Xenopus tropicalis: one gene and its partners. The protein of the gene in region 1 interacts with the protein of each later gene in a pairwise test. Links are inferred from orthologs where the notes say so. Each region holds a gene or a part of one and is shown on either strand. Other genes may lie near its edges. The genes, in order: chd3, yae1, sirt6, serbp1 and immt.

What was found.
Region 2: the proteins of chd3 (region 1) and yae1 interact in a two-hybrid assay, tested with the Homo sapiens proteins (2 studies listed by BioGRID and IntAct). The link is inferred for Xenopus tropicalis from reciprocal best matches to the Homo sapiens genes CHD3 and YAE1.
Region 3: the proteins of chd3 (region 1) and sirt6 interact in a two-hybrid assay, tested with the Homo sapiens proteins (2 studies listed by BioGRID and IntAct). The link is inferred for Xenopus tropicalis from reciprocal best matches to the Homo sapiens genes CHD3 and SIRT6.
Region 4: the proteins of chd3 (region 1) and serbp1 interact in binary tests that used the Homo sapiens proteins (3 or more experiments, as listed by UniProt). The link is inferred for Xenopus tropicalis from reciprocal best matches to the Homo sapiens genes CHD3 and SERBP1.
Region 5: the proteins of chd3 (region 1) and immt interact in a two-hybrid assay, tested with the Homo sapiens proteins (2 studies listed by BioGRID and IntAct). The link is inferred for Xenopus tropicalis from reciprocal best matches to the Homo sapiens genes CHD3 and IMMT.

Annotation. Positions count from the first base shown.
Region 1 is NC_030679.2:146,917,262-146,922,974, forward strand, and holds part of chd3 (chromodomain-helicase-DNA-binding protein 3), read right to left. Parts: coding exon 5,536-5,713; intron 4,123-5,535; coding exon 3,991-4,122; intron 3,082-3,990; coding exon 2,982-3,081; intron 2,040-2,981; coding exon 1,848-2,039; intron 1,055-1,847; coding exon 854-1,054; intron 649-853; coding exon 511-648; intron 1-510.
Region 2 is NC_030682.2:64,475,921-64,482,246, reverse strand, and holds yae1 (protein YAE1 homolog), read right to left. Parts: upstream 4,141-6,326; 5' UTR 4,004-4,140; coding exon 3,875-4,003; intron 2,518-3,874; coding exon 2,396-2,517; intron 1,300-2,395; coding exon 858-1,299; 3' UTR 374-857; downstream 1-373. UniProt on the Homo sapiens protein: The complex LTO1:YAE1 functions as a target specific adapter that probably recruits apo-ABCE1 to the cytosolic iron-sulfur protein assembly (CIA) complex machinery. May be required for biogenesis of the large ribosomal subunit and initiation of translation.
Region 3 is NC_030682.2:40,098,000-40,103,570, forward strand, and holds sirt6 (NAD-dependent protein deacetylase sirtuin-6), read right to left. Parts: upstream 3,136-5,571; 5' UTR 3,130-3,135; coding exon 2,134-3,129; 3' UTR 1,751-2,133; downstream 1-1,750. UniProt on the Homo sapiens protein: NAD-dependent protein deacetylase, deacylase and mono-ADP-ribosyltransferase that plays an essential role in DNA damage repair, telomere maintenance, metabolic homeostasis, inflammation, tumorigenesis and aging.
Region 4 is NC_030680.2:83,565,879-83,572,238, reverse strand, and holds the start of serbp1 (plasminogen activator inhibitor 1 RNA-binding protein), read right to left. Parts: upstream 4,038-6,360; 5' UTR 3,910-4,037; coding exon 3,645-3,909; intron 1-3,644. UniProt on the Homo sapiens protein: Ribosome-binding protein that promotes ribosome hibernation, a process during which ribosomes are stabilized in an inactive state and preserved from proteasomal degradation.
Region 5 is NC_030677.2:17,821,375-17,827,661, forward strand, and holds the start of immt (MICOS complex subunit MIC60), read right to left. Parts: upstream 4,185-6,287; 5' UTR 4,057-4,184; coding exon 4,012-4,056; intron 1-4,011. UniProt on the Homo sapiens protein: Component of the MICOS complex, a large protein complex of the mitochondrial inner membrane that plays crucial roles in the maintenance of crista junctions, inner membrane architecture, and formation of contact sites to the outer membrane.

The DNA of each region.
Region 1 (5,713 bases):
TCTTAGTTGGGATCAAGTACAGGTACTGTTTTATTATTACAGAGAAAAGGGAATCATTTAACCATTAAATAAACCCAATAGGGCTGTTCTGCCCCAATAAGGGGTAATTATATCTTAGTTGGGATCAAGTACAGGTACTGTTTTATTATTACAGAGAAAAGGGAATCGTTTCACCATGAAATAAACCCAATAGGGCTGTTCTGCCCCCAATAAGGGGTAATTATATCTTAGTTGGGATCAAGTACAGGTACTGTTTTATTATTAGAGAGAAAACAGAAATCATTTTTTAAAAAAATGTGAATTATTTGCTTATAATGGAGTCTATGAGAGATCGCCTTTCCGTAATCAGGCTGATCCAGGGGATCTTCTCCTCTATACTCTGCCCTAATTAGCTGCCTTTGCAGGACCAAACATGGAGTAGCTTCAGTCTCCCTGTTTAGTTCAAGGAATTACAAAATCCATAGATTGTGTTTAAAACAGGCAAAACGTTTTGCTGCCCCTTTAACATACCTTGGACTGGTTATTTTTCAATCGGTGAGCCTCATCTACCACCAGGCAGGCCCATCGAATGGATCCCAGAGCAGCCTGGTCAATTGTGACCAGTTCATAAGAGGTGAGGAGAACGTGGAACTTCACCTGGGCCTGCGCCTAGAAAAGTGAAAATATAAGGGTAAAGACACACGGAGCAACTTAGTAGCAGCTACTAAACACCAGAAAATCCCCTGCCATAGACTACTGAGAATAGCCTCTGCTAAACACACGCAGAGACAATTATCAGTAAATAATCAGGATTGTCTATTTTAGTATGAAAACGATATATAGCTCTGACTGTCCTTCCATCCAGTTCACCCACCTTCATCTTAAAGGCTTTCTTCCCCCCTTTCATGACGTTATCCTGATAGGAAAACTCATTCTCTCGGATGACGGATCTGCTGTCTTTATCGCCGGTGTACGTCACCACGTAGAAGTCGGGGGCCCACATCTGGAACTCGCGTTCCCAGTTAATGATGGTGGAAAGAGGGGCGCTGACAAGGAAGGGGCCCTGCGTGTGTCCCTACAGAAGAGAAAGAACCAAATTATCAGAGCTTCTCCAATCAAATATGCTATGAAAAGGGTGTCTGTTATTGGTCAGTCCGTTATTGGGGGCACCACTGACGGGCCTACCCGACAGATATCTGGCTTAAAATTGGCAAATCTCGATCGTGTAGGTTTAATTTTCTGTCGGATTTTGGACCGCATCGGCTCATTGATGCGGTTTCTGATCCGACCTCGCCAAACCCGCATTTCTTCCCATGCCCACCTTTATACCAGGGCCGACAACTCGGGCCCGGCCATGCTACAGTTTTCTGACTGGCTCGGGCCCCCTTTAATCGATTACGGCCGGGCCCTGTCATCCGATTGGTCGCGCCCCGTGCATACATGTGAAGAATCAGCAGCAGCAGAAGTCGACGATGACGACTTCGGGAGGCACTGTCTATGGGGGGCACTGTGTATGGGGGCACTGTATGAGGCACTTGGTGGCACTGTCTAAGGGGGGCAATTGGGGGCACTGTGTATGGGGGGCCCTGGCCAGCCTAGCATTAGGGGGCACTGTGGTAGGGAGGCCCTAATACATTTTAGGTCTGTGTCCTTTGCACTAATGGGAGGGGCCCTGGGGGAGGGGGGGCAGAAAATTTTGTTGAGGGGGCCCCATGATTTCTGATCGCAGCCCTGCTTTACACTATAGGACTGTAGTGAAAATGCATAGGGAAAGTTTCAGCCATATAGTCTTAGAACAATGGCGTACAAGACTGAAATTCCCATCTTATTCTCAAATTCCTTTCATTCTCTCCATTTTTTTCTCTAACCTCTTTATACAAGGAGTACAGAAAAACAATGGTTTGTATCGTCTTTCCAAGTCCCATCTCATCCGCCAGGATGGTGTCGGTTCCTTGGGCCCAAGAGAATCGCAGCCAGTTGAGTCCCTCCAGCTGATACATATGCAGTGTGCCGCCCGTGCTCGATACAAACTGGGGTTGGGTATCATACTTCACTGTAGGCTGCAAGGGAAACATACACAAGCGGATACTTTATCCCACAGATTAACCATGGTGTGAACTAGAGTCCTGAGTAGAACCAATTTTGAAACCCAAACCCACAACTCGCATTTCTACCCGCTTGGACCCACTACCCGACCCCCAACTTCCTTATCAGCAAACTGATCCCCTGACCACCATTAAAACAGGAAGTGCTGTTGCTGCAAACTGGAAGTGATGTCATCACTTCATCAGTGGACGGGGGGGGGGGGGTGAAAAAAAAAAACGTTTAGAAAGAGTAAAATATACATAAGAGAAATAGAGATAAAATAAGATAACATAAGAAATATAGATAGACCCGTGACCTGTCCCATTCGGAAATCCTACCCATAATCTGCAGGATACCTGTTTTCATTGGGTCATTGCTGCAGGACAAATACACGTGGCACTACCTGTCTACTAGTGATGTGCAGGATGAGAAAAACTTGACCCCCCCCCCACTCGATCCTAACCCTCCAGCAATTTTAGGTTGTGGGCAGGGAGAGTGAGTGGAAGAGCTCAACCTGAACCTACCCACGACCCGCAAGTGATGTGCTGAGGTTGGCCCGAACTGACCTGACCTATTGGTATTTGGCCGGGCCGCACATCACTACTGTCTACCCCCTTACACACTACTACTATTATGCCCGAGGGTTGGGTGGGTTCGGGCCAACCTTTGCACAACATTTTCTAGATCCAGGTGGGTACGAGTCGAGCTTTTCTGCTTGATCTTCCCACCCGAAACTTTACACTAGCGGCGTGAGCGTGCCACACCCCTTTTGTGACATCATCAGTGGGTGGGGCTGGCGCCGGTCCAGTTTTACTCTACCCACGCATCGCTACATGACAGATACAAAGACCATAGACACAGAGCAGGCTTACCCACCTATATACTACAATACCATGATACGTGTGGACAACACTTACGTCATTTATAGGAGAGCTGGGGACCCCGTGTAAATAGGATTCCTTATGTTGTCTCTTGTATTTCTGAGGGCAGCAGGCACTATCTCCCATCATCAGTTGCCTGAAAGAAAGAATTGGAAGGATGATTGCCAGTTTATCACCACCAAAAAAAGGAGGTAATGTGTGGCTCACAGGTATACTTGACTATATACAGGTATAGCTTTACTACCATTGCTGGTTGTACAATGAGCGGCCATTATAAAGGGGATCTAACCTAAAACATTAATTGATGCAGACTTAATCAGATGGTTCCCCTGAGCACTTTGGCAATTTATAGTAGTTTTCTCTTTTTCTGATATATTTGCAGTTTTAGACCACTAACACCAGGCTTTTACTCTTTTTAAAGGTTAAAGTTTCAGCGACCCTTCTAGTGATGTGTGGGTGAACATTTTGTGGACCCACACCCGACCTGCTGCCTCCCAACCCGATTCCAACCTGACCTGGCAATGTACCTCTATTCATAGACCCACGCCAGACACGCCCATTTCTGATGTCACAAAAGGGACTGGGCGGGGCAGGCGCACACCTATAAATAGAGGCTTCCAGGTCCAGAAGATGGGCAGTGTAATGTCACAGATGGGGCGGGCAGAAGCAAGAGGACAGCCCAGACCCATCCACGACCCAACAATATGGTGCGAGTGCTGATATTAATAGTTTAAAACTGCTAATATTTCAGAAACCACTATGAAGAAAAAATTAATGTAAATTGCAAATTATTGTAAACTGTTTCGATCATTTCATTTCTTGGGTTTAGATCCCAAGCGCAGTAATAGCCGAGAGGAGGAAGGTGCCTGGTAATCCGTGAGGATGAAAGAGAGCCCCCCAGCAAACAGACTTTACCTAAACCATCAAGCTGTACCAACAGTTAGGGCCCTCCCAGAAATGATATAATGCTGCCCCTTTACTTCTAGGAGACATACAAGCGGAAGATTCCGGCACTGCCATTTCTACCTGTGGCTTTCAATGGTACCTGTGCCTCCAGTACAACGGCTTGTGGTATTCATAGTCTGGCAGCTTCATGGCATCCTCCTCCCACGTGGACTGATCATAGGACAGGTCTCGCCATTTCACAAGGTAGTGATAGTTCCCTCGCTTATCCAGACTGAGGAGAGAATGTTGGGAAGCATAAATGGTGCACAGACTCGGCAAGTACCAATTACATACAGATTAAATCAAATTAGGAGCCATCCGCAGCATATGGTCTCCACAACCTGAAACAGTGATTGGTTGATGTGATGCTCCTCCCTCCATCTATTAGTTGAATAAGTTCCTATCAGATACTGATCTATCTACTATCTTGTCCCCATACAGCAGTGCCTGGGTATAGTCACCTTTAATAAAAATGCCTTGTTTAATAATCCTTTACACATCTACAGGCAGGGAGGTGCCCATCTATGACCATATGGAGTCTCTGGTACCATTTTCTATCAACAGAATTCTGGCAACCCAAGAATGAACTAATTTGTAGCCGTAAATTCAGTGATCGATTGGCCGCAGTAAATTGGGGTTTTGTAATAAAATGTACTACGTTTGCCCAGGAGCAGTAACCTATGGCAAACCAATCAGCAGGCAGAATTTTCTGGTTATCTGTTTAAAAGCAAACATCTTACTGATTGCTATGGGTTACTGCTCCTGGGCAAACTTACGGGGTTATGTAATAAAAGACACTAAGCTTGCCCAGGTGCAGTAACCCATAGCATCCAATTAGCAGGTAGAATTTAAAAGTCACCTGTCTAAAAGCAATCATCTTATTGGTTGATATGGGTTACTGCTCCTGGGCAAACTTAGTGCCTTTTTATTACATTTGGGGGTTAGTGTCTAATGAAATATGGGGGGGGGGGGGGAGATCAAACCCATGGTTTAAGGCAGGGATCCTCAAACTACGGCCCGTGGGCCAGATCCAGCCCCCCAAGGTAATTTACCCGGGCCAGATGTGTCCCCACTCCTGGCTACTACCTGTCTGCAGACGCAGCTGGGAGCAGGGAGCCGGAGAACGCAGCGGGGTAACAGGGAGCTGAAGGGCACAGCAGGGGAAAAATGGAGCCGGGGGGGCGCAGCGGGGAGCAGGGAGCCGGAGGGCGCAGCGGGGGAGCAGGGGGCACAGTGGAGAGAAGAGAGCCGGGGGGCACAGCGGAGAGAAGAGAGCCGGAGGGTACATTTGGGAGCGGGGGAACAGGGAGCGAGGGTATGCAGCAGGGAGGGGGGCGTAGTTTGAGGTTTTGAGGCATAGTTTGCGGACGCGGGGGGGGGGGGGATATTCGGAGGACTACAGTCCAGCCCCCCAACAATCTGAGGGACCATAAACTGGCCCCATGTTTAAAAAGTTTGAGGACCCCTGGTTTAAGGTTTAGCCTGTTTTCATGAGTGTTCCGTTTTGGGCAGGACTACATGCTTCTTACCAATAACACCTTTTGGTAGGTACCTTGATGGTGGCCAGAGAGGTATTAACAAATAAAATGGCTGCTTTCTCTACATGACACGTATAAGGATAAGACCATTGGGCCAGCCTTCAGACCTGTGGTTGATGATTCTCTGGATAGACATCCACTCAGGCTTTATGCCGTAACGGTAGAATCTTTCCTCTAAGTCGGAGTACTCGGCATCCTTGCTTTTCTCACTCTTGCCCTCGTCCTCCCCGGAGCCGTAATCAAAGGGAGGGGGTTCGTCCATGTCGTTCTTCCGTTGGAAGTTGC
Region 2 (6,326 bases), on another chromosome or scaffold:
ATTTCTGCCCTACTTTGTTTAAGGTTCAGTTCTACTTTAATGACAAACCCCTCAAACACCAGGCACCCCCCACATTAGCCCTGTAAATGTTGCACAGCTGGGTTGGCAAGTCATCTCATGTTGCTTTTTTAGAGTAACATGAGATGGGTGTTGAGGGGGCCATTAGATGGGGTCTGGGATAGGTGTCATTCACCTTTAAGAAGGGCTTTGACAAGTTTGACAGGTGTAATGCCTTGGGATTGCATGTTGGCTCAGTGGATAGCACTTCTGCCTTGCAGTTCTGGTTTGATTCTGGCTTGGGTTATATGCAAGGAGTTTGTATGTTTTCCCCATGTCTGTGTGGGTTTCCAGCACTTCAAAACATAAAGTCAGGTTAACTGGCTCCTGCTAAAAATGACCCTAGTGTGCATGTGAATGTGTGAGCACTGCATAAATACTACAATAAAATATGCACGGGGGATCATTTAGAGAGGTTGAACTTTGTCAGTTGCCTTCCCCCCAATACAAAATGACCTAATCTTGTACACTTATTTGTTAAGTTTAACCCAAAACTAAACAATGCAGCTAAAAAAAAAAAAAGGGGCTTTTAACAATGTATTTACTTTTATCTTGCTATTATGGTAGAGATGTATATTTTACACCGAGTTGTGTTATTTTTAACCAATATAAAATCATTAAATATCAATGTCCCTTTATCTAAATCAAACTGTATTTAAAAGAGTCTAACCGACTCTAAAAACATAATTTCTATGACCGATAGTTCTGAACCTAACAAGTATAAATGTGTCATTTGTGTAACTTTGGTTACATTGTAACATGTTTAAAAAGAAACAAAAAATATGGTGCACTGGCTGTGGCTAGCACTTTAATTGAATAAGAGGTGACTCTGTGTTATTGAGTGTTTGAATATAGTAAAGAAGTTCTGCTGAAATATCAAGTTGTTCAGCCACCAAAAGTGTCTCCTTAAAAATCTTACAAAGTTCTTCTTTTGTTGAATCGCTGATATAGTTGGTATTCATGCAACGGAATGTTGATGATCCATTAGAGTCCTGACTTGTGCAACAGTTCCTGGAACCTGCGCAGGAGCCTGGCTCATTCAGTTCACATCTATGCTCATGACTGATTAGAGCCATGTCCTCCACACAGTGCAACAAATCAGATGGTTGTGCACCTTTATAAAAGGAAGATAGATCTTTTACAATTTGTTCCTCACACTGATCTAATGAAGTCAGAAGCTCATGTAGTTTTCCAGAAGCTGCATCTTTTGTCTTGTGAAGTTGGCACCATGCCAGGAGTGCACTGCAACAAGCACACAAAGTACATTATATAAACGACAATGATAACATAGATACATTTTCTAGAAGCACTGGCATTTCCTGATGATACAACAAGTTTTATTGTCAGCTGACCCTAGTTAAACTTTTGACATCAATTTTCTGCTGATTGTCCCTATTGTACTCATTCTTCTATCACGTTTGCAGTAAGTAAAACATCAACATTGACAATTTAAGATTTAAAATATTTTACAAATTTGTGAAGAGCTAGCAGTAGGTTGCAAAATACTTAATTAAAAGAGTGACTGAAGTTTATCGAAGCACAAGTCACATGGCTGTCAATTATCAAAATTAGAGAAAAAAAAAAAATGTTGCTCTTCCTGTAAGGGTGAAGACACACGGAGCTACTAGTAGCGGCTACTTGTTGCAGCTACTAAAACAGACAATGCTGATCATTTACTGATAACTGTCTCTACATGTGTTTTAGCAGAGGCAATTCTCTATTTTCTATGGCAGGGGATTTTCTGGTGTTTAGTAGCCGTGACAAGAAACCCTTTAAAGGGGAAAAAGCCCCCCTTTTTTCACATGAGATAATTCAGTTTTGTGCTTATATAACAAAAGTGTAGAAACTTCTGAACTGCCAAAAATATATACAATTCTTAAAAATATGTAATGTTAAATCTTTCAGCGCTATTTAAGTCTTTATTAACTGCCAATATAATGAATTTTGTAATATTGCTACCTCAGTTCTTGAAATTGTACAGTCAAAGACATACAAACCTTACATTCAGAACAGAAACAGGAAAGCGATCAGAAGCCCCAATTGCCTTTTCCCATCTCCTTCCTAAGCAAAGCAACAGCACAATATTTGTTTTTTTTTTTTATTAAAAAGGTAGCTCTCTTTGACTGTACAACTGCAGGAAATAACCAGAAGGCAGTGATGTTACAAACTTTATTATTTTGGCAGTTAATAAAAACTTAAATAGCTCTAAAACTGAAAAATTAATACTGCTTATAAAAGCACCCTGAGCATTTTGACACATTAAACATTTGTAATTCCCGTGACTGAAAAGCTGTCGGAAATAACTGGAGAAGTGAAGATAAAATACAATACAACTTACCTTAAGATCCCTTTAAGCTCTCCGTAATGCTTTAGCAGGTTCACTCCAACTTTATATCCAAAATTAAACCCTGTTTGTAGAGAATTTTCTTTCCCAGCCTCTATTCCATCAACGTAGCCCTCCTACGAATACAAGAATAGAAATTCAAACTAAACAAGCATTCCACAAAATTAAAGCAGTTAAAATAGTTTTCATCTGTAACCTAAAATTAATTTAAACTTAAAACTCCATGCCTACTGCATCCTACATATCCAACAGACAATATACTGGTGGATACGGTACATTTTTTTCCCTGCCATTTTAACCCTTTCACTGCCAAGCACGTAGGCTGTATGTGCTGGCAGTAAAAGGCTCTATCTGCCAAGCACATACACTTAAATATAGATATTTAGAAGCCTATATTGTTATAGAAGTGGCATTACACAAAAATTCTAGCATATTGTGAAAGCTTAGATTGCCCTGAAAAAAATATATTGTTTTCCTGGGTAAGCTAAAAGTCCACCCTGAGAAAAGGCCTCTAAAGTGAAAGAGCGCAAAATGTTCAAAAACTGTCTGGCAATAAACGTTCTGTTGTGACCAAATCTGCTTGCAGTGAAAGGGTTAATGTGTAGGTGGGTAGGACATGGGACTAATTAGTGCAGTGATCCCCAACAAGTGCCTTGTGAGCAACACGTTGCTCCCCAAGGCCTCAAACCAGGTAGTGATTTTTGAATTCCTGACTTGGGGGCAAGTTTTGGTTGAGTAAAAACAAGATTTACTACCAAATAAAGTCTCCTGTAAGCTGATAGTGTGCATAGAGGCTGCCTAATAGCCAATTACAGCCCTTATTTGGCACCTTCATGAACTTTTATGATGCTTGTGTTGCTCTCCAAGTCTTTTTACATTTGACTGTGGCTCACAAAAAGATCCCCGAATTAGTGTAACCTGGTCAACCAGTAACTTCATAATGAGTTACTTGTGTAACGACTGATAAAGTTCTGAAATGGGAGTGATTATTCTACTTTCCCCGAATCACAGCTTGGGTGCAGGTAAGAAAGTTGTGTATAAAGCAATGACAAGGCAGAGAAATGAGGTAGGTTAGTCTTGAATTAGGGCAAACTCCACTGACCTTCAATGAACGGACTAACTTTATTAGCACATTACTCTTGATTATAATTAATAAAGTGTGCTATATTGAACTACTACTGACTAGCTATTTGGGCCACACAGAAAGAACATGTGTGTGTTTAGAAGAAATGCCGAATTCCTGCGACAAACATTGAAACCCCGATGCGAGTGCTCCATAACACAGCAGTGCCCTGAGGTAAAACAGAGCCCCGCTTTTACCAACCTCCTTGTAATTCCCAGAAAACCTGCTTCTCAATGTATGCCTTGGGGTAGGTAACCAGGAGCACATGAAATCACTTACCAGTAAAATAGGGCAATGCCTAGAAAGGGGCCCCCAAACTCGCTATGTTAGTCTAACTATCTCCCGAATACCTTAATTCTCTTCTCCATGGACAGCTGCCAATCTCGCTGCAAAAGGCGCATCTCGTCTCCATCTTCATCAAACACCTCTGCCTCCCCTCCAAGCTGCTGGATTTCCAAAGCGGTGCGTACCCACGCCATTTCACTATCAGGGGCCGGTATCTAGCTCTAGCATGGCATAAACTGGAGGAGAATCCCTGCTCTAACGCAGAAAAGCTAAATACGCCCCTCGCCCATGACGAAAATATCAGTCTAACTTCACCCCGGAAGTGGAAATTATTTGCAGCCGCATCCTCACCAATAGGGATCGCTATTTTATGCGCCATTTTCTGAAGGCATGTCCATTGCTTATAAGCCAAGATGGTTGTTTGGGTGTAGTAAAAAAAAAAAGCAACGGAAAGCGTATTTCTCTATTTCCTAATGGTGCGTCAGCGCCATCTTGTGTAATATTAGTGCTTGACATGGGGTGAAATAATGTGTGGCGAACTTTATATGGTTCAAATGTTATGTACATAACTAACAGCATGTTGTTTCGTGCTTTTATGATTATATGTAAAGTCTTTTGCGTGCTGAACACAATAATGAGCTCAAGATTATGGCAAAACTCCCCGCCCCAGCTCAGACTTACACTAGCATACCTTCCAACATTTTGAAAATGGAAAGCGGGACAAAAAAAAATGCAGAGCACAGCTACTTTGTGACCACGCCCGTTTTTTTGCGACCACACCCCCTAAATACCACTCCCATTTGGCAGGTTATAGTTTGTTTACATTTCTGGGGGTTTTGTTTTATGTGTTATAGTTTTGCTGAAAAGATGAAATTGTCCTTTAAGTTGCAAGTCTCAGTTCCCCCAAGAGGTCTGTTTAGCTTATTAGTTACACTTGTATCTCAGTGCAGGGGGGGGCTCTTTACCTTTCTGGGTTCTTTGCCAAAAGCCCACTTATTTCATTAAATGTGAGAAACAATGTATCTAAGTGCAATGTATCTAAGTGGGGTCTCTGCCAAAAGCTACTTTTAATTAAATTAGCTTCAGTGCAGAAGATCAAAGGGAAATGAGGGACTTTTCAGTAAGAATCTGGGACTGCAGGCTGAGCTGCCAAAAGAGAGACTGTCCCGCGAAAATCGGGACAGTTGGGAGGTATGCACTAGGGTTGCCACCTTTTCTCGAAAAAGATGCTGGCCTTCCTATATTTTTAGCTATTTTCCCTATTAATAACATTAGCATTAAAGGAGAAGGAAAGGTAAAAACTAAGTAAGCTTTATCAGAAAGGTCTATGTAAATACAGCCATAAGCACTCACAGAAACGCTGCACTGAGTTCTCTGTTAAAAGATACAGGATTTGTTGTCTCTTTGTTTTCCTGTGCCAGACACACGCAGCTCTCTCCTCTCTCCCCTCTCCTGCTCCCTCCTCCCTCAAGAATGCTAAGAACTCCCTTCCCCCCTTAGGAATGTGCGATCTTAGCCAATCAGCAGGAAGATTCCTCATAGTCTTACTAACTGAGCATGTACTCTTGGTCTTGGTGTAGGAGTGAGGCATTATGGGAACTTTCACCAAGCTCAGTGTTTTTTTTCCCTATAAGGCTTCTGATCATCTGAACAGGTGAAATATGGGGAGACTTAAGGGCACTATTGAGAGAACTGAAGGTATGCCTGCAGCTTGAGATTAACTCTTTATTAGCCTTTCCTTCTCCTTTAAGAATAATTTGTACTGGCCAGGCCGGTAAAATACCGGGCAGGTGTCAACCCTAACTTACACGTGTTTACCTAAGAATCAATGAGGTTTTTAATTGAAGTACTTTTTAAATCTAAATGATCTCCCCTTATATCAGCACAAAGGTGATCAATACCCTGAAAGACGGAGCCCACATAGTGACCAGCATGATATCTGTTTAGCTATACTAGACATTAAATTGCAATTACAAGTCATATTCCTTACTCCTTTTAAGAGTCACAGTTTTTCCAACATACTATTTACCACAATGGCAAGTGAATAAATAAATCACATTGTGCAGTTAATATAATGATTTATCTTAAACTAACTGCACTTTATCATTGGATAGTGGATGCTATTGGGCCACAAAGACTTATGTTGGTCAGATGGTCAGAGCAGAGCAGGAGGACTCAGCTTCCAAACTTGCAATATTAAGAACTATTTCAAGAAAAAATATTTGACCATTATACCATCTTAAGTCTGCACGACTCGTAGACCTAGCTTCTAAGTTGCCTGAATTCCCAAATATATCCTCTTTAGGATGTGCTCCATTCAAGACAGAACTTCCACTGTTTTGCCCAGCAGACCAGGTCTAGTTTCCCTTCTCCTACTGCTGATTTGCCAATAGTGAATTAACAAGATAATTTTGCCACAGTGAAACTGCAAATCAAATAACTATTAATAACAAAAGGTGAATACTTATGCTTAATTTCTGTAAATCACTTTATTGTATGTAACATGCCCATGCATCT
Region 3 (5,571 bases), on another chromosome or scaffold:
GTAATTTTACATTCCTGTTTACCATAGTTTTGCTATGCTTACTTGCATGTTAGCCACGGACCAGTATTATGTAAACATTGCATGAATATTACATTTCCCATACATGCAGCCTGATCATGTACAACAGAATAAAAATGCTCCTACAAACCACATATAATTAAACACAGTGCCATATTCCCTGATGTCCCTGTTTCACAGACTTCAATCTTGCTTTTTCATAAATGCCAATATGCATCAAGGATACTGAAAGGCTTAATTTCTCAGTTCATTCTGCAATATAGGAAAAGAATTAGTAGAGGTGTTCTGCTAAACACCAACCTTGTCATCCCAGACAGACACAGGAGTGCTGCAATAATACAGCAGAAAATGCTAAATGTCACTAAGCAGTGTCCTGCGTTGTGCACGATGTAGCAAAAAATGCATGTACACTAATATAGTGTAACATGTTTTAACTTGGGATTTCAACATTTATAAGCAATTAAGCCAATTTATATCAGTCATTTAATACTATTTAATGTTATGTATTTATTTAAGCTGCTGCGTAACTGCATTCTTCTACCTAACTAAAAATGGTTCCCCCACCGGAAGTACAGGCTTATAGAGCCCTCAGTCCGGTTGGGGAAAGCAAGTTTCCTTTTAAAAAAACAGTCCCTGCTGACGCTAGGCCACCCACACTGGGAGGGAGCTCCCAGTGCGGACCATTAACAAAAATATTGTATAAAAGTGCAACTACTGGCATTTCTGAAGGTCACATTCAACATGCAGAAACCATTATTAAAGCAATGCTAGATTGTGGAAAACATTACAGAAACCAGTGCTATTATAAGGAAATTGGTTTTGTGTTATCTCCAGGACTAGAGAAAGAACAGATCAGGGCATTGGAAAGAATAGTGCTAATGTAACAGGTGCAATCTTAAAAATAACACATTAAAATTGGTGGAGACACAATATTGATGCTGATAGATCATTTCTTGGGCCAGTATTGGTTGATCTGTCACACCTCATACACGTAGACCAGTCGCAAGGCTACCCAACTTTAACTCATCTTAAATACGCATATTCAATTCCCTTCTCTATTGGTTTGGTTTTTAAAATCAATTAAAACACAGGTATCCATGTCATTTTAAAATGTAGCCAGTTGGGAAAGGGGAACTAATAGCTAAAATACAAACTGGCTACATCCCAAGTCATACCAGAAAGTGGAAATGTAGGAAGAGTATCTCTGTAGTAATACGGTAAGTCAAATCAACTAGACTTGCTGTGTTTTTCTAGAGGTTTCGCTAGTCATAAGAATTACATGTACAAGGATCTTTCTGGAATAAATTCCTTGAAATGTTGCTCCAATCAGCATAATCTATTAAAACTGGCATGGTGTCAGGAAGCTCATGAAGGTACGGTGTTGATTGGAAGAGTATGACTATGATAGTGGGGGTTATTGGAGGAGTATCACTAGGATAGTGGGGGTTCTCTACACCATGATTATTGCTTCAAGCTTCTGGTTTATGCTTTGCCACGGTTACACAAGTAAAGCATAGTTATGTCACTTGCACAAGTGCACAGGGAAACCGAAGCAGTGTACCTTATGCCTGCCTAAGCTCCTTGTAAATAGAAGGGTAGGACAAAAAGGTGGTTCAGGTCAGCAATGTCACTTGGCATGCATGTGAGCTAGGCAATTCATTTATTTAAACTGCGGTTTTATGAATGCAACCAGCCAGCAGTGGTATAAAAATCAATTAAATATATCTTGCTGCATCTGAGAAAGTTGTATTTTATTTCTGTTTAAAGAAATGGCTGGCAGTTCTGTAAACTGTTTTTTGTTTTTTTTTCCCTTTTTTTAAAAATAGAGGAATGTACAATATCAAGTCTTTTTATATGCATTGCTAGATATACATCCTGAAAAAGAAAACTTTAGTGAAACTGAGTGGCACATCTCTCACGGATACATTTTCTCTAATGTGTGTGCCTGTCTCAGTCAAGAAGACATGTACAAGCTAATACAGCACTGTGTGTAACATTATATAAAATAGTTTGGCTCATACATATCCAAATATGGGTATTCTTATGTCCAGCACAAAACAAAGTTAGAGCCAAGTTAAGGAATATAGCACCTTTTTTGAACTAAGAAGACCAGTATCATACACATGCTGGCTCAACTTTTGCCTTTTTTGGCTCGAGATTAGGTTCTTCCTTGCATCCTTCTCTTTTTTGGTTTGGGTTAGCACCCAGCACTGAATCATTGTAGAAATGATTTTCCTCCTTATAGTTTCCATTAGTTGGCTCTGTTTTAGTAGGCATACCAGTCCAAACTGGTATCTTGTGACCCAAAAGCTCCATGAGCTGTGTCATCACTTCATCCACATAACCGTGTATTCTCAAATCCGCGTGCTTGTCATGCTTGGTCGGCTGAAGGTTTACAATAACTAGTTTCCCACCCTTGCGCTTGGTGAGGAGTGGTAGGTTCCCACTGGGTCTAATCTGCAGTGATGTCCCCAATGTAATGGACAGGTCTGCTTTCCTGCAGGCTTCATCGGCTAGGTTTAGGTCTCTGTCAGGAAGTGAGTCTTCCCAATCCAAAATGGTGTCTTTGAGCTTCCCCCTGCAAGCTCTCAGGCCTCGCACCTTGGGCACATCACAGAGTCTCCCAGTAGGTTTGAGCCCCATGGTTCCTACAACTTGATCTCGCACGTACTGTTTGCTACATTTGCTGCATTCCTCCACGAACATGTTTCCATGTAGTTCTGCCAGCTGCTCTCTGGGGAAGCCAGATCTTACATGCAAGCCATCTACGTTTTGGCTAACCAAAAATTTCAGGATGCCAACCCTCTGCAGCTGAAGCAGCGCCATGTGGGTAGGGGAAGGACATGCAGATTCAAACGTGATGTCAAACTTTGGGTTCACACCTTTCTCCTCCAGAGTCCACACTCCATTAGGCCCCCTGAAATCTGGGATTCCGCAGGAAGTACTGATCCCGGCTCCCGTGTGAAATACTACGTAGGAGGATTTCCGAATCATATCAGCTAGTTCCACTACCTTGCGACACAGTTCGTCCGGTGGATCAAATGCCTCCGGGAGCCCACATCGTCCCTTATCGGAATAGGGAGACAAGCCAGCCGCATAATTCACCGACATGTCGCCAACAGAGCCCGAAACAGGAGTGACTCCTTTGTGATCATTAAATGGCCGGCGCAGGCAAATGACGTCAATAAAACCAGCCAGACGGTCGAATTCTTATTGTAGAGTACTGGAAAGGGAGTTTAGGCGCCGTCCCTGGTGCGTTGATTTCGAGAGTATATAATTCAGTTCAAGGCACATAATATCTAACAAGCCAGCAGCCCTCTATGGTAGAAACTATATTCTGGGTGACGAAGAAAAGCAATGGTATTTACCTCGTTGTTATGTAAAGCTTTGCGTTGGAGACTTTGCAGGTAGACCAACAGTGTGTAAGTTGTTACGAGTATTTTAAAGTGTGCACATTTATATATATTATACAGTGTTCTTCAGTCTATGACTCATTTAAACCGTGAATCATTATATATATATATATATATATATATATATATATATATATATATATATATATAGTGAGTGGAAACAACCCCCGATTTCTAGTCAGCCCTATAGCATTAGCTACTGTGACAGGCAACCTTATTTTCTGCTTGATAATTTATGACAACCCCAAAGCTCAGCTTCTCAACAGCTACCCAGAGCATGTGAGTGTCACTAACAGAAACCAAGATGGGGAGCTCCTTTGTTTTTAATTAATTGTGATCACGATTATTTATATGAGCGATGTTACTAAATAACTTTCTTTTGAGATAACTAATTTTTCCCCAATATCTTTTGGTATCTGGCAGCTCACTAAGGGGCACATTTACTAATCCACGAACGTCCGAAAAGCGTCAGAATGCGTTTTTTCGTAACGATCGGTGTTTTGCGACTTTTTCGAGTGCTCAATACGAAAGTCGCGACAATTCACGAAATTTGTATTGGCAGTGAAAAAGTCGCGACAATTCACAAAAGTCATAATGGCTATGAAAAAGTCGCGACAATTCACGAAATTTGTATTGGCAATGAAAAAGTCGCGACAATTCATGAAAGTCATAATGGCTATGAAAAAGTCGCGACAATTCACGAAATTTGTATTGGCAATGAAAAAGTCGTAACGAAAAAAAAATACGAAAAAGTCGCAAAATGTTCGTTTTCCAATCCGAATTTTTCCCATTCGGATTTGGGGATTAGTAAATCAGCCCCTAAGTGTTTTTGAATTGATTTCTTATTCACAAGCGCAGAGTGGTGATTTCTAATCTTATGGGGAGCTCTCCTGTGACAAGGCATGGATCATTACTATTATAGAGCTGTTAAACCTTTTGGCTGGTGGAGTAAGTTCCGTATACAAAATATGGCAAACCTAGCCATATTTATTTATAGGGTTTAATCCTCTTTTTGCATAGCTTGGATATGTGCCCCTGGACCCCACATCTACTTTTGTGAGCTTATGACTTTCATACAGCACACGATTCTTCTTTTTCTCCCTTTCTTTATTTTTATTTTATTTGAGGCTAACAATTATGCTTGTCAGTACTGTGCCTGAGTTCTTATTTTTCAGCTACCTCTTATTAGCCATATTTGTGCACATGTTCAGAAAGAGCCCTTGCAATCATTTATTAATTACAGAAAGTGGAAAAATGCATTACCAATCCCATAGGGCTAATGTAAATAAAGTATTTATTAATGTATTGCTAAAGCATATTGGCAAGGAGACATTAATGGTTCTGTACTTTTACCTGGCCGTTGCTCAGTCATATAGCCTAACTGTAGTGCATTGTCATTCCTATTGTGATTCCTGACACAATGCTCATTGGTGAATATTTTACTCCTTCATATGATTTCCAGCTTCAAGAATCAGCCCCATAAAAGTGATTATAGACTTGCTGTCTCAGATAAGCATTGTTGATAAAGCAATAGTGGGCTTATTTATTTAAGTGTGAAATTTGATCTTTTCACAGAAAAATTCACCCACTCGCTGTGTGTTTCTTGGTGTGAGGTTTAGGTTGCATAAAATATTGAAATAGGGTTACTTATCATGAGACAATCATTCTTTGTCTCATTTGAACAAAATAAAGTACTTGAGACCTGGGCACAACAGAAAGACAAGCCAGGAAGTGACAAATTATTTGGGGGCAGTAAATGTCTGGGGCTCCTGAGGCACGCCCACTGCTTACTGGAAACTGCAAATTATTGTGGTTGGGGGTCTGGGCAAGCAGGGTCAACTAAAATTGGGGCCTAAGGGGGGTGCCTTGCTTGCCTTGCCCTTGAGCTGGTCCTGATGCATACATCATATGGGGTAGCGAAAGAACTAAGAAGACAAATGCAAACATAATTTAGTCAATAAATCCATGCAGTGGACTTGTGTTGCAAGAACTCTGACTAAAATACACATGCTGTGTGCTGAAAGGGAAAAGGACAGAAGGTTCCATCTCAGTGAGTGAGCTAGTAGGTGTTGGTGTGGTGCCTGGGCCTATGCAAGGACTGACTGCCTGTAGATTAAAGAGAGTGGTGTTCTCTTTTTGG
Region 4 (6,360 bases), on another chromosome or scaffold:
CCTAGAAGAAAACAGATTCCTATTAAATTGTTTAGTCAGAACAAGAACAAAAAAATGCTTTAGTTTACATTTACAAATAACTTTAAAACTATTAAACATCTGTAATTAATGCATACTGGAAATATGCTCATGATTACATTATCTTTTATTGAGCAAAATAATCAGTTTTTGGGTTGAGGAGTCGTTTAATAATTTGCTTATTACAAAGACCCATATAATAAGTCACATTTACATTAAAGAAAAACAATACATTAAAATGCATACTAAAGCAACAGAAAATGTATTAGACTGTTGGTAAAGTTAGGCTACATGAAACAATAAAGTTCAAACAAAATACTAATGACTTAATTTGAGCTGACCCACAAATGTTAACCAGGTCTACAACTAAAATGGTTTCCTTGGAATGAAGAGAATATGCAGCCAGTAATGACTGACAGCACACCTTGCCCTGAGAATAGAATCTGTGCTGCACTACTGCTACTGGAGAGAGCCCCCTACCACAACAGCTGCTGTAACCAGTTAAGGCCATACAAGGATTAACTATCTGACTCTTGCCAGTTATAACCCTTAAAACACAGTTTTTAGTGTTACCTCCCATAAAAGCTATTTAAAAGGATTGCTAAACCAGTTAATAGGCGTGGTTACAAAAGGCTGCTGACTGCACAAAGAACACATTACTTTGTACCTCCTCCACCCCAGTAAAAAACTGATAATATTTCTGTTTAACCCTATACCTGTTAATGATATAGTTAGTTAAAATTAGGAGTTCAAAACAAGGACCTTTTCAGGTTAAATGTCAGAATTGTGTGCTTATAGGCAATGCATGATCTTATCAGCTTACACACTGACAGGAAAAAAGTTAAAGTATAATTTGAGGCAAGCAATGAAGGCCCATGTGATTAAAATACTAGCATACTACAGAGTTTCCTTGTATATTAGTCCTATTTAATTTAGACCTCCACTCTCTGTACATAGCTCTGTGTTTACACTATTTGCTTAATTTAGCTGCAACTAAGAGCATACTGCAACAACTACTCAGATAATTGAATGCAAGATTTTTGAGCTTTTCTCATTTGCAGATCTGCCTTGACGGGACTGGTATAATTAAATACATTATAGCTACATAACAAAAGTGTCTTGTTATTACTCTAGTGCAAGCATTTATGCAGCAATGAAAATGTCTACGTATTATGAACTACTATTCTAACTTACATGCACATACCAATCACTGGTCACTGAAGATGGCTTGAGCACATGAACACCAGCATGAGAACATGTGATGCCATATGTATATGGGTGGGGGGAATTAAAATGAGTTTTCATACAACTAAGAAAAGGTAAGCTCATACAGAATTATAGTTGTCATGACCTTGAACTATTGGATTACCATTTAACTATACATATCTGCTACAAAGTGCCCAGACCTGGGAAGGGCCACACTGACACAATTAACATATCTACATAATTAGCACGATACCCTTTTAATAATTAGATTTTGGAAAAGACTTCACTTTATGAAAATGATTAATGTATACAAATCACATTTGTTGTCTGTTTGTGTAACTGCAAGTATTTATACTACGTTTCATACATAGCAAACAAAGTAGTTTACTATATTGTCCATTTAAAACTTTTTTTTTTAAAGGGGCAGTAAAACTCTAGTTCAGTACAAGCACTATTCATTAAATTCATATTGCACATATGTTGTACATGTTGCATTTATAATGAAAAATCTATGGTTTTTGTTCTTAAGCTAAACAGGGAAACCGAGGCTACTGTATGTTTGGACCTTGCGAGATAGATAATTAGATTAAAGTAAATAACCCTCTTCCCTTTATCCTCAGTTGAGATTTTCATTAACAATAACCCATTACACATGGAGCTTATAAGGGCACTGTTAATTAATATTCTACCTCACAAGGACCAAAGATGGAGTAACTTCAATTTCCCAGTTCAGCTCAAGAAATAAAAATAACAGATTTATGGCGATTAAAACAATAGGCAAAAAGTATGTTCACCACAAGCCCTTTAAACCTGGTGTCCCCAAATGTTAACTACAACTTCCAGCATGCTTATATCTGTGACTATTAGGTTAGTTTTAAATGCTGGAAGTTGTTGCCCAGCAACATAAAAGGTAGGAAGGCTTATATATTTAGTCATATATATTTAGTTCTCGTAAGATGCTAAAACATTTAAACGTTTTGGAATATTCCTAACAGCTCTCCTATATTAAGAAATATACTGTGAAACTTAGTGAGAAATAAGAAGGTAGATGTAACAAACAGAATACACTGCACAAACAGATGATCTAACTGTTACACCAGAACACTAAAAGACAGCAATGATGTGTGGTGAAATTGGCCACACATTAAGGGCTGATGGGGTGGTTTCTCCACAGCCTTATTTCAGCTAGCTAAAAAGTGCCCCAAACAACACCTGCTGCCCCCATTCCCTTATAGGAAAAACACCTGGTCAATGTAAAGAATCGGGGGCTGTTTCAGGCGCTACTCTACTACTGAAATACACCCAGTATAGAAAAGGGCTTTACACTTAATAAAACTTGGGTAAATTATGGAAATGTTTAGAAAAATGACATTGCCCTGAACATTGCAAGAGCAGAGCTTCACATTATTAGTTTTTAGGTCAAGTGCTTGAACATTTCCCATCAGTCTGTTGACATTAGTATTAAAATAAAAGCTAAGATGCCTTCCAAAACGCTTTAGGGTTAGGAGTCTGATACGGCGTGTTTTTTATGGCACAAAGTACTTTTATAACACGTCTTTAGCGGCTGTGATTGACACTAGTAATACCTGGACTAGTTGCTGTAGCTCTCATGAACCACATGGAAAACTGATATTTTATCTAGGGCCCCCCCATAGTAAAATCTGGCGTATGCACATTAAAGAGCACAAGCCAACCCAAACCAATGTTGCAAACTTTTATTCTTTGTAGTTGTACTGGGAAGAAAAAGGCAACAACCCTCCAGTAATAGTAGGGCTCAGAGTGGTGAGGCCTGCAGGAAGCGCCCAACCCATAGCAGTACACACACATTTCAGTGATAGGCCCACGTGTTTGGTAAGTATGGCTAGGGCCTAGTGTTGTGACAACCGCCCCCCTCCCCCCTCACACCACGTGCTCCCTAGCGCTCTCCCGCCACAAGCCTGGGCTAAGGGAAGCAGCTCCATGTGCGAGGCCCTAACGGTAACACTTCAGTGACAGCTCTGCTTGACCTTGGAGGGCAATTCGATTCTTAACGCTCCCCTCCCCCCCCTCCCGTCTAATGTGCCATGAGCCCGTCTGACAAAAAGAAGTTAACAATACGGCGATAACCGAGGTGCAAGCGCCTGGTTCAGCCAACTGCCGCTATAAACGCGTAATTTACAGTTCGACAGGAAAAGTATACACTGCGAATGTGTGCTATATGGCACCTTTCGAGTTCAACTCTTAACTCGTAGAACCTGGGGTAGTACTTTATAGGCTATAAGTGCATGCATGGAAATGAAATATAAAATAATTCGAAACTCAGTAGTGGAACGTCCCTGCGCTGAAGCTTACACAGCTCGCCACTTGTCGTTGGATTAAACTACCTAATCACCCCCGGGGCCTACTGTCACTCCCTCAGTGCTAGTCCTATGGCGCGTTACCTTCCTTCTTGATTGGTACAGGCGCCTGGCTCTTCTCCTCCTTTTCGGACAGAGGGTTCTTCCGGTCTTTCTGGGACTCCTTCTTGGGCTGTTTGGCGGCCTGAGCTGCCGTTTTGCCGGTCCCTTGACCCGGTCCCCCTGCGCCCTCCTTCTTCTTGTTCTCGGCCGCCTTCAACACCTCGAAGGGGTCAGATTCATCGTCAAATAGCTGGTCGAACCGATTGGTTACGACGCAGCCGAAGCCTTCCTGCAAGTGACCGGGCATGATGGCCCCTTAAGAGGTGGATGTTCCTCCGATTCTACGAGGCCTGGAGCCTAGAGCTCGCTTGCTAGTAAGCCAAAAGATGGCTGGGAAAGAGGCTGTCTTCTCTTCCGGCGCGATAGACATCCGGGACTTCTCCGGCTGCGGCATGATGGGACTTGTATGCCAACTGTCGTGCGTGTGCATGTTACATAGTGGCGCTAGGAACTACCATTCCCAGCATGCCATTCACCGGCATTGTGCGGGCCCCATCTATGTTTTCATGCGTGCTGCCTGTCAGTTGTAGATAGATAGAGACAAACAGACGAAGTGAGGGAGGTGCTTGGTTTGGGTAGCTGTAATTTACCGCCTCAGTATTCCGTATTAGAATAGTTTTTTTAAAAAAATAATTGCCCCCATAAGGAAACATGCTCCCTTAGTTGTATTGTTATGAAGCTGTAGCCAGGGGATTGTGGGAGTTGTAGTTCAATAATTTGGAAGCTAAATGCTGATGAAAATCTTCAGCATAGAGTTACAGAAATAGGCGTTTTCGCATATAGTAGCTAATGGGAATGAAAAATAAAGGTTTTAATTAAAAAAAAAAGGAGTCTCTGAATGAAACAATGTGTTGCCATATTTTTCTGTATGAATATTTTTTCCGTTAAAACAAAACCTCTACATTTTGTTTTGCAGACAATTAGTGCATCCCTATTATTAAGATGTATTTGTAAAGTGCTAACATTTTATGTAGTGCTGTACAACAGATGGGTGTATTTTACTGGTCTGGTCAGAAAAACTATGTTTACTGCCAACGTTATTATTAGGTTAAAGACAAAAATATAGGAAGGCCAGTTTTTTTTCCAGAAAAGTGGAAACCCTAGTATATATTTGTGTTGTTGCCTTCCTGGTATTTTACTGGCCTAGTTGGCAAAAAAAAGAACATTTCCTATAACGTCAACCCAAATCGCAGGACACTGGGGAAATATTGGGGGCATGGCTTGCTGGGGGACTGTGATAATGCCACTGTGCATACACAGAGGGTAGGTCTGCTCACATGAAAATTGGGCAGGAAAAGACAGCAGTGAGGCTGTGGAATGCTCTTCTGAGTGATATTGTAATGGCAGATTGGTTTGGATGATTTCTTGAACAAGCGTAATATCCAAGGCTATTGTGATACTAAAATCTACAATTAGTATTGATGTTGGTATATATGGTTTATGTATGTGAGTGTATAGATAGGTCAGTATAGGTTGTGTGTGCTGGGTTTACTTCGAAGGGTTGAACTTCATGGACTTTGGTCTTTTTTCAACCCTGTGCAACTATGTAACTATATAGTGCGCTTGTTGTTTGAGTACGCCCAGAATGTGAACTACAGTTACTTACTCCAGATTCTGCTATTCCTGAATAAAAACTAGGGACATCATTTTCTTAAGAAGGTGATTCCTGGTCCTCCCTTACTTCTTAATTTAGCATGTTGCTAAAATAGATGAATTGTCTATTTTTGGTGTCACCGCTGTTTCTTTTATCTTGGGCCCAAAGGCTTTCAGAGCTTGAAACACTGCCCTGACTTCCAACACATTTGACTGTGTGTTCTCTCAAGGACTCTGCCAGGAGCCACACTGTCTCCCAGGAAAACTCCCCACCCCAAGGAAGAAATATACGCTGCTAGAACTTTAAATTTGATTGAAAAGAGGGGAAACCCTTAGATATGTTTGAAGTGGCTAGCCACCACTGAAGACTGACTTCGAGGAAAGATTGGCTTTGGGAGGAAGTTGAATGTCAGGAGGACTCCATTGAAGTCAGGCATTGCTTAGTTTTACTTCCCCTGAGGACCGAGAACTGACTGATGCCCCAAAGGGAATTGTTTGGAGGTATTGCTAAATAAATATCTCAAGCTGTTTGAGGATCTTTTGTCCAACCTAAGCCTTAAAAAAAGAAAACATTTAAAGGGTTGATCCCAGGAGAACTCACCACTCCAGGGAAGAAGTATTGATTAATATACCTTTCCAATCGGTTGGAGCAAGGGGAAGTGTCAAGCCACCACACAGATTCAATTTGAGCTGGGAGGAAAGTCAAAGGACTGACCACTGCTCCAAAAGAATTGTCTAGAGGTATCTCTAAAAATGTTGGCGGGATCTATTACCTGACCTAAGCTTTGAAGAAAAAAACCTTTAAAAAGTTGATTCCTCACCATTTTATTCTCTGAAGGAAGGTAACAACTCATTCCTACCATTGCGTTAAAAATGATTTGCATAGACTTAGTTTAGTGGTAGTATCCATGCCCCAAGCTCTAAGCCAAAGTGCTCTTTTGGAAGAGACAAACAGAGCAATAAAGCTTTAAGCTTAACCTTTAAGTCAGTTAAGTCAACTGCTGCTTTGGACCAGGCCTGAACTGTGTAGATTATGGCAAATGCCAGAGGGCGTGCTAAATGATGCCATAGACAGTAACTATTGTGGGGAGCTGTTTTGGTATCT
Region 5 (6,287 bases), on another chromosome or scaffold:
CTACAGTTCAGTAAAGTCTTTAAAATAGCTACATAACATGTTCTTGCTTTACCCCATTCTTTCCCTAAGGTTATTACCTGAACCCCAATTTAGGGAATATTGTGCTTAGAATGTCCTTGTAACCAACTGCATATTAGGCATTTCCCCACAGGGCATTGGGTAGCAGTTTGTACTGGTCTAGAGCAGTCAGAATCATGAAAGCAATCATATCATTGGTTGCCATGAGTTACTAGACCCGGAGCAAAAGTTAGTAAATAAATAAACTCACAAGAGTTTTTATTTGCAAGTAAAGGTCCCCATACACCATAAGATCCGCTCGCTTGGCAACATATCTTCTCCCGATATCCCCACCTACGGGTGGGTGATATTGGGAGAATCCAGGGTAATTCGATTGTTTGGCCCTGGGACCAAATGATCGAATTATAATGACAGGTATAGGCAAAGTCGGTCTGGGGACCACATCAACGAGCCGATGCAGTCCCCGATCTGACTAGATTTTCTAACCCGCCCAATCGAGATCCGGCCGATTTCGGGCCAGATATCGGTCGGGCAGGCCCGTCGGTAGCGCCCATACATGGGCTGATTAGCTACCGAATCGGTCTAAGGGACCCATATCGGCAGCTACTATCGGCCCGTGTATGGGGACCTTTAGAGTGTGTGTTTGCGGTCTGTAAATCATTATCATTAGATACTATTAGTATACTGCAGAATGTTACACTGCACATAAGATAAGTAGAACATGAATGGAAATATTTCCTTTATACACAACCAATGATCAATGGCAACCGGACAAACCCCTGTGAAGGGTACCCCATATATACAGCACAAGGAAGTGTGCAGCCACCAGATCAGGGCAGAAAGCAAACAGCCCCCTCACCCAAACAGCTCCACGTTGCACCTGTACAACTAGTGAAACAAATGTATAGTACATATTAAGGCTCATATACACATGCAATTCTGTGTGCTTAAATCTTATTTACACCGACACCTTGTACTTTGCAGCAGTTCAGCCTGCTCTGAGGAACAGCGCCCAGGGTACAGGGCCCATGGGTAAGTGAGAAGCCTTCATGCCGGCTGTACTGACGCAACCACACATGCAACCCATTTGCAAACTAGCTGATGCCCCCCTGCATTACTGGCACAAATAAAGGCACACACACAGCAATTAGGAAAAACTGGCAACACACACGGCACCACAATTTCCCAAAGTGGATGATAATCTGTCCCCTCACACAGGCTGCAGCTCACAGGACACACAGGGATACAGGCCCGGACTAGGATACAAAATAGTCCCTGGCATTACAAGTACCCAGAGGCCCAAACAGCCCCCCGGCAGCCCAATAAATAGTGACTGTCTGTGGCATCTTACAGCAGCCCCTCTGGCATTCCCAGTACACAGAGGCCCAAACAGCCCCCCCAGCCCAATAAATAGTGACTGTCTGTGGCATCTTACAGCAGCCCCTCTGGCATTCCCAGTACCCAGAGGCACAAACAGCCCCCCAGCCCAATAAATAGTGACTGTCTGTGGCACCTTACAGCCCCCCTGGCATTCCCAGTACCCAGAGGCACAAACAGCCCCCCAGCAGCCCAATAAATAGTGACTGTCTGTGGCACCTTACAGCCCCCCTGGCATTCCCAGTACCCAGAGGCACAAACAGCCCCCCCAGCCCAATAAATAGTGACTGTCTGTGGCACCTTACAGCCCCCCTGGCATTCCCAGTACCCAGAGGCACAAACAGCCCCCCCAGCCCAATAAATAGTGACTGTCTGTGGCACCTTACAGCCCCCCTGGCATTCCCAGTACCCAGAGGCACAAACAGCCCCCCAGCAGCCCAATAAATAGTGACTGTCTGTGGCACCTTACAGCAATCCATAGACTGCCATTTTGGGCCTGAGGGGAGATTTGTCACCCTTGGTTAAATCTGGGTTACTGTGGGTGACAAATCTCCCCAAAATGCTTTGCAACCAGCAGTAAAGTAAGTTGACAGTGGGAAAGCATATACAGTGCTTATTTCCTTGCCCGCGGCAGCCCAGATTTAGCCATGGGCAGAAAATCTCCCCTTGTGCCATAAGCCTTAGAGGGTACCTGCCATTTTGCTGGGGGGGGGGGATAAAAACTGCATTGTGGGTAAAAAAAGATAGCATAGTGACCTATTCATATCAACATCCAAGGGCACGGCTATCAATGGGAGCAGGGTGGCACGTTAAGTAGCATTCCTGCCCCACATTGCTGAGCATTACGTGCAGATTGGGCACTGTGTGCTTGGCATCTGAGTAACGTTCCTCTGTGCCATTGCTGTGCATCCTCCAGCAATATAGGGGAAAGTTAACTGGCTCCTGTTGATATTGCCCCCATGTCGGAGAATTTGTGGGTTCCTGCATGCTGTCAGTAAGCTGTGGAGAAGTTGTTACAATTTGTAACATCAATGTTTTAGTCCCTTCTCCCCTGCCAGGATTTCAAATGATGCAGAAAGAGAAGAACTGTTTTGCAGCTGGATTTCAGCATATAAAATGGTATTTATTCCTACTTTTTGAAGGAACAGATTACAGTGATAGGGATTTGGGGGGTTTCTGTGCTGTGTGGGGCTCTGTAACACATTTTGGCGCAGAAGCCAGAGTTCATCTTTAATATTCTGCAGACTTTATTATAAGCAAATAATTCCGATTTCCTATTTCTCTGAAATATTAGAACAGTACCTTGTATGAGATGGTAACTAAGCAGCACAGATCCATGTGAGTGGCAAAACAATCCTACTGGGTTTATTTCAGCTTTTAATTATTAAGTATGGAGATCCAAATAATGGAAATATACCTTCCCCAGGTCCCTAGTACACCTGTATAAGGATTCCTACCCTGGGCTGGGGTCAGATACAGATTAGAAAGTAGAAGGCAGAGTGCCAACGCTCTATACATCATTAGATCTGCTTCATACAACACAATGTACATATAAAGGGGCAGTTTACATTGAAATGAACTTTTAGTATGATGCAGAGAGTGCTATTCTGCAACAGTTTGCAATTGGTCTTCATTTTTAATTACTTGCAGGTTTTGATATATTTTTCTTTGTGTTCAACAGCTCCCCAATTTTACATTTTAGCAGCTGTATGGTTGCTAGGGTCCGATTTAACCTAGCAACCAGCCAGTGGTTTAAAAGGTAGATGGGAATATGAATAGAAGAGGGCCTACATAGAAAGATAAGTAATAAAAAGACACAATGGTGAAGGTGAAGCAGCGCTTTTATACAATTTATATGGAAGAATGAAAAGATGATATTTTCTCCCAATCAAAAAGCAAACCTTAACTGTCGCAAAAGGCTGTCAAGGGATGCTGGGAGTTGTGGTCCAATAACTTTAACTAAGCTCTTTGCCACTCTCTGTACTGTCCCTGGCACCAGATAGGAGCTAGGCCCTGGGGATGGGACACCAAGCAAGGTCACACCTACAGGCAAAAGACAAGTGGGGTTTATGCAGACAGGGGCGCTCTCGCAGGAGGGTACAATTAGCCACTGAGGCTAAAATAAACTTTAGGCCGTATACAGGCCGTGTGCCCCGGTGACCTAGCCCCATGCCGCCTCACAGTCCCTCGCCACTATAGCTTTCCATTCTACCTGCCAAAATATACATCGCTCATTGGCTTCACAGAACGTCCGTCAAAACAACTAACCACGTTATAGGTCTAACAGACGTCAATCTAACGCTAGCCCCGCCCGAGCAGCGTCATATATTTAACCAAGGGGTAATTGGCTAAAGTGCCAAGGACATTGGAATCTGATTGGCCGGTCAGCCTGCAGCTTGTTAAAGCGGTTGCCTGTAATTGGCTGGAGTGAAAGGAAGTCCTAGGCGCCGCTGACGGCTCCCAGCCTTGGAAGCCGGGGTCCCTTACTTCGTAAGGCTCAGTACTGCTGTTTCCCGGCCTTTAGGCGATATCCTGTCAGAATCCATCCCCGCCCATTCTCCCAACTAGAAGCTCCCTCACTGCAACACTGTGTACTCTTTCGCGCTATCCACTCACCTTGGCGAGCACCGCCGCCTGGGCCTTCCTGCACACCCGCAGCATGTTCTCCGGTGTGATGGGGAGGGCAAGCTCCGGGAGCGCTCTCAGTACGGCATGAATGGAGGCGCGGTCCGTGTAGCACCTCTAGCTCCGCCTACGTCATTCGCCGGGGTACGCCCACTATGGCATGACAGCTTGATTTTTTTTTTAATTCAACAGCTTTATTAATAACACTTCTGAGAACAAGATAGGGATTTGCGTATCCAATACGGGTCTCATGGCTGGGGCATGCTGGTACTTGTAGTTCCTAACAGGGATATCGTGTGTTGTGGTTTATCGCAGTGTTATAGAGTTTGTACCACATGACTTTTCGCACTACGTATTAATAAAGGGGACTTTCACCATGAAACTGGCTTTTGCGCAATAAAATGTGGTTAAAATAAACTTTACACTCTCTGTGCAGCTCTGTGATGGCTGAAAGCAGTGCCTGCCTGGTTACAGTCTGTGCACCGCGGGTTCTGACTCACAGCAATGTAGCAGAAGCAGCTGATACACCTAGAGAACTATCCTTTGCATAGTTTCACAAGTCACAGCTGTTTCTGTAATAACTTTGTGTAGAGTGTAAGCTCTTTTGGGCAGGGCTCTCTTCACCTCTTGTACCGGTTATTGATTGCTTTATATGTTACTCTGTATGTCTCCTTGTAGAGTGTAAGCTCTTTTGGGCAGGGCCCTCTTCACCTCTTGTATCGGTTATTGATTGCTTTATATGTTACTCTGTATGTCCCATGCATACCTCCCAACATTTGAAAAATGAAAAGAGGGACAAAAAGATTTGGTGCGCGCAGCGCGGCAATTTTTTTGACCACACCCTCTTTTGTGACCACGCCCCAATTACCACACCCCATTAAAAAAATACTCCTTTTATATAGTTAAAATGGCGGGATCAGACGCAAATGTGCTATACTCTCATACTGTACTGCCTAAGGGAAACATTATAGCAACTCCTACATATAAATACAAATATAGAGAGAAGGCAGTGAGTTATATGTGAGTTATAACTATGTACCAGTTTTGCCCCCCCATACACAGGTGCCCCCCATACACAGTGCCCCCATACACAGTAGCACAGCATGTCATGACACTCATTGTTGCACAAGCATTACAGTGTATGTATAAGGCATACATTACAGTGAGAAGTATAAGGCAATATCCTTTCAGCAATACTTTTAATAGAAAGCAAAATGTATTTTAGATATTAATGAATGCAGGGAGTTGTAGCAAACTAACATGGTTAAGCTAATTACCCTGCAGGTAGTATTATAGATGATACACTGACCACCATCAGGGTTTTGTCCTGTACCAGTAAGGAAGACTGGGGTTAAGGAAATGTTGGCCTAAAGGTTCAGGATAACTCTGGGTAGGGAGGTTATCAGAAGGAGACAGCTAAAGAGAGCTCAGCAGTGAAAGAGGTGTAGGGGGTAGCAGGTAAACAGCTTAGTGAAACTTGTACCGGGCAGGGCCGGATTTCTGTTTTGGGCGCCCCGAGGCCACCCCTGTCGGTCGTCCCCTCCCCACCCGTGCGCATGCGCGAAAGCGCCCCCAGTGCGCATGCGCGAAAGCGCGCCCTCCTGTGCGCATGCGCGAAAGCGGCCCCACCAGTGCGCATGCGCTCTTTAAAAATGCCATACGGAGCAGTGGGGAGAGGTCCCGACTGCTCCGTATGGGAGCCAAATTTAATTTTTTTTTTGCGGCGGGGCGGCATGCCGCCCCTAAACTTCTGCCGCCCTAGGCCCGGGCCTTTGTGGCCTCTCCACAAATCCGGGCCTGGTACCGGGAAGGGGGGAGGAATTGGTAGGAGTGGGAGACAGGGAGGCTTCTGTAGTGAGCTGCTACTAACATACATACTGGCAGCAGGGGAGAAGGAGCCATAAAAGAGCAGAGGGCAACAGCAATAAATCCATCCTGTCGGCTTGGAATCTCCGTTGCAGCGTTCACATCACAATCTTTCTGTGCTTCCCGGAGCAGTCTAATCATGACGTCACAGTCACAAGCGGGCAATTGAAAAGCGGGACATTTAAACAAAAATCCGGGACAGCGGGCTGAGTAATGAAAGTCGGGACTGTCCCGCGAAAAGCGGGACAGTTGGGAGGTATGCCAATGTATGGAACCCACTTATTATACAGCGCTGCGGGATATGTTGGCGCTTTATAAATAAATGCTATTAATAATAATAATAAATGACTAGTTTTATTTGTTTTACCTGTCAACCATGTTTTAAAACATTAGAAGGGGTT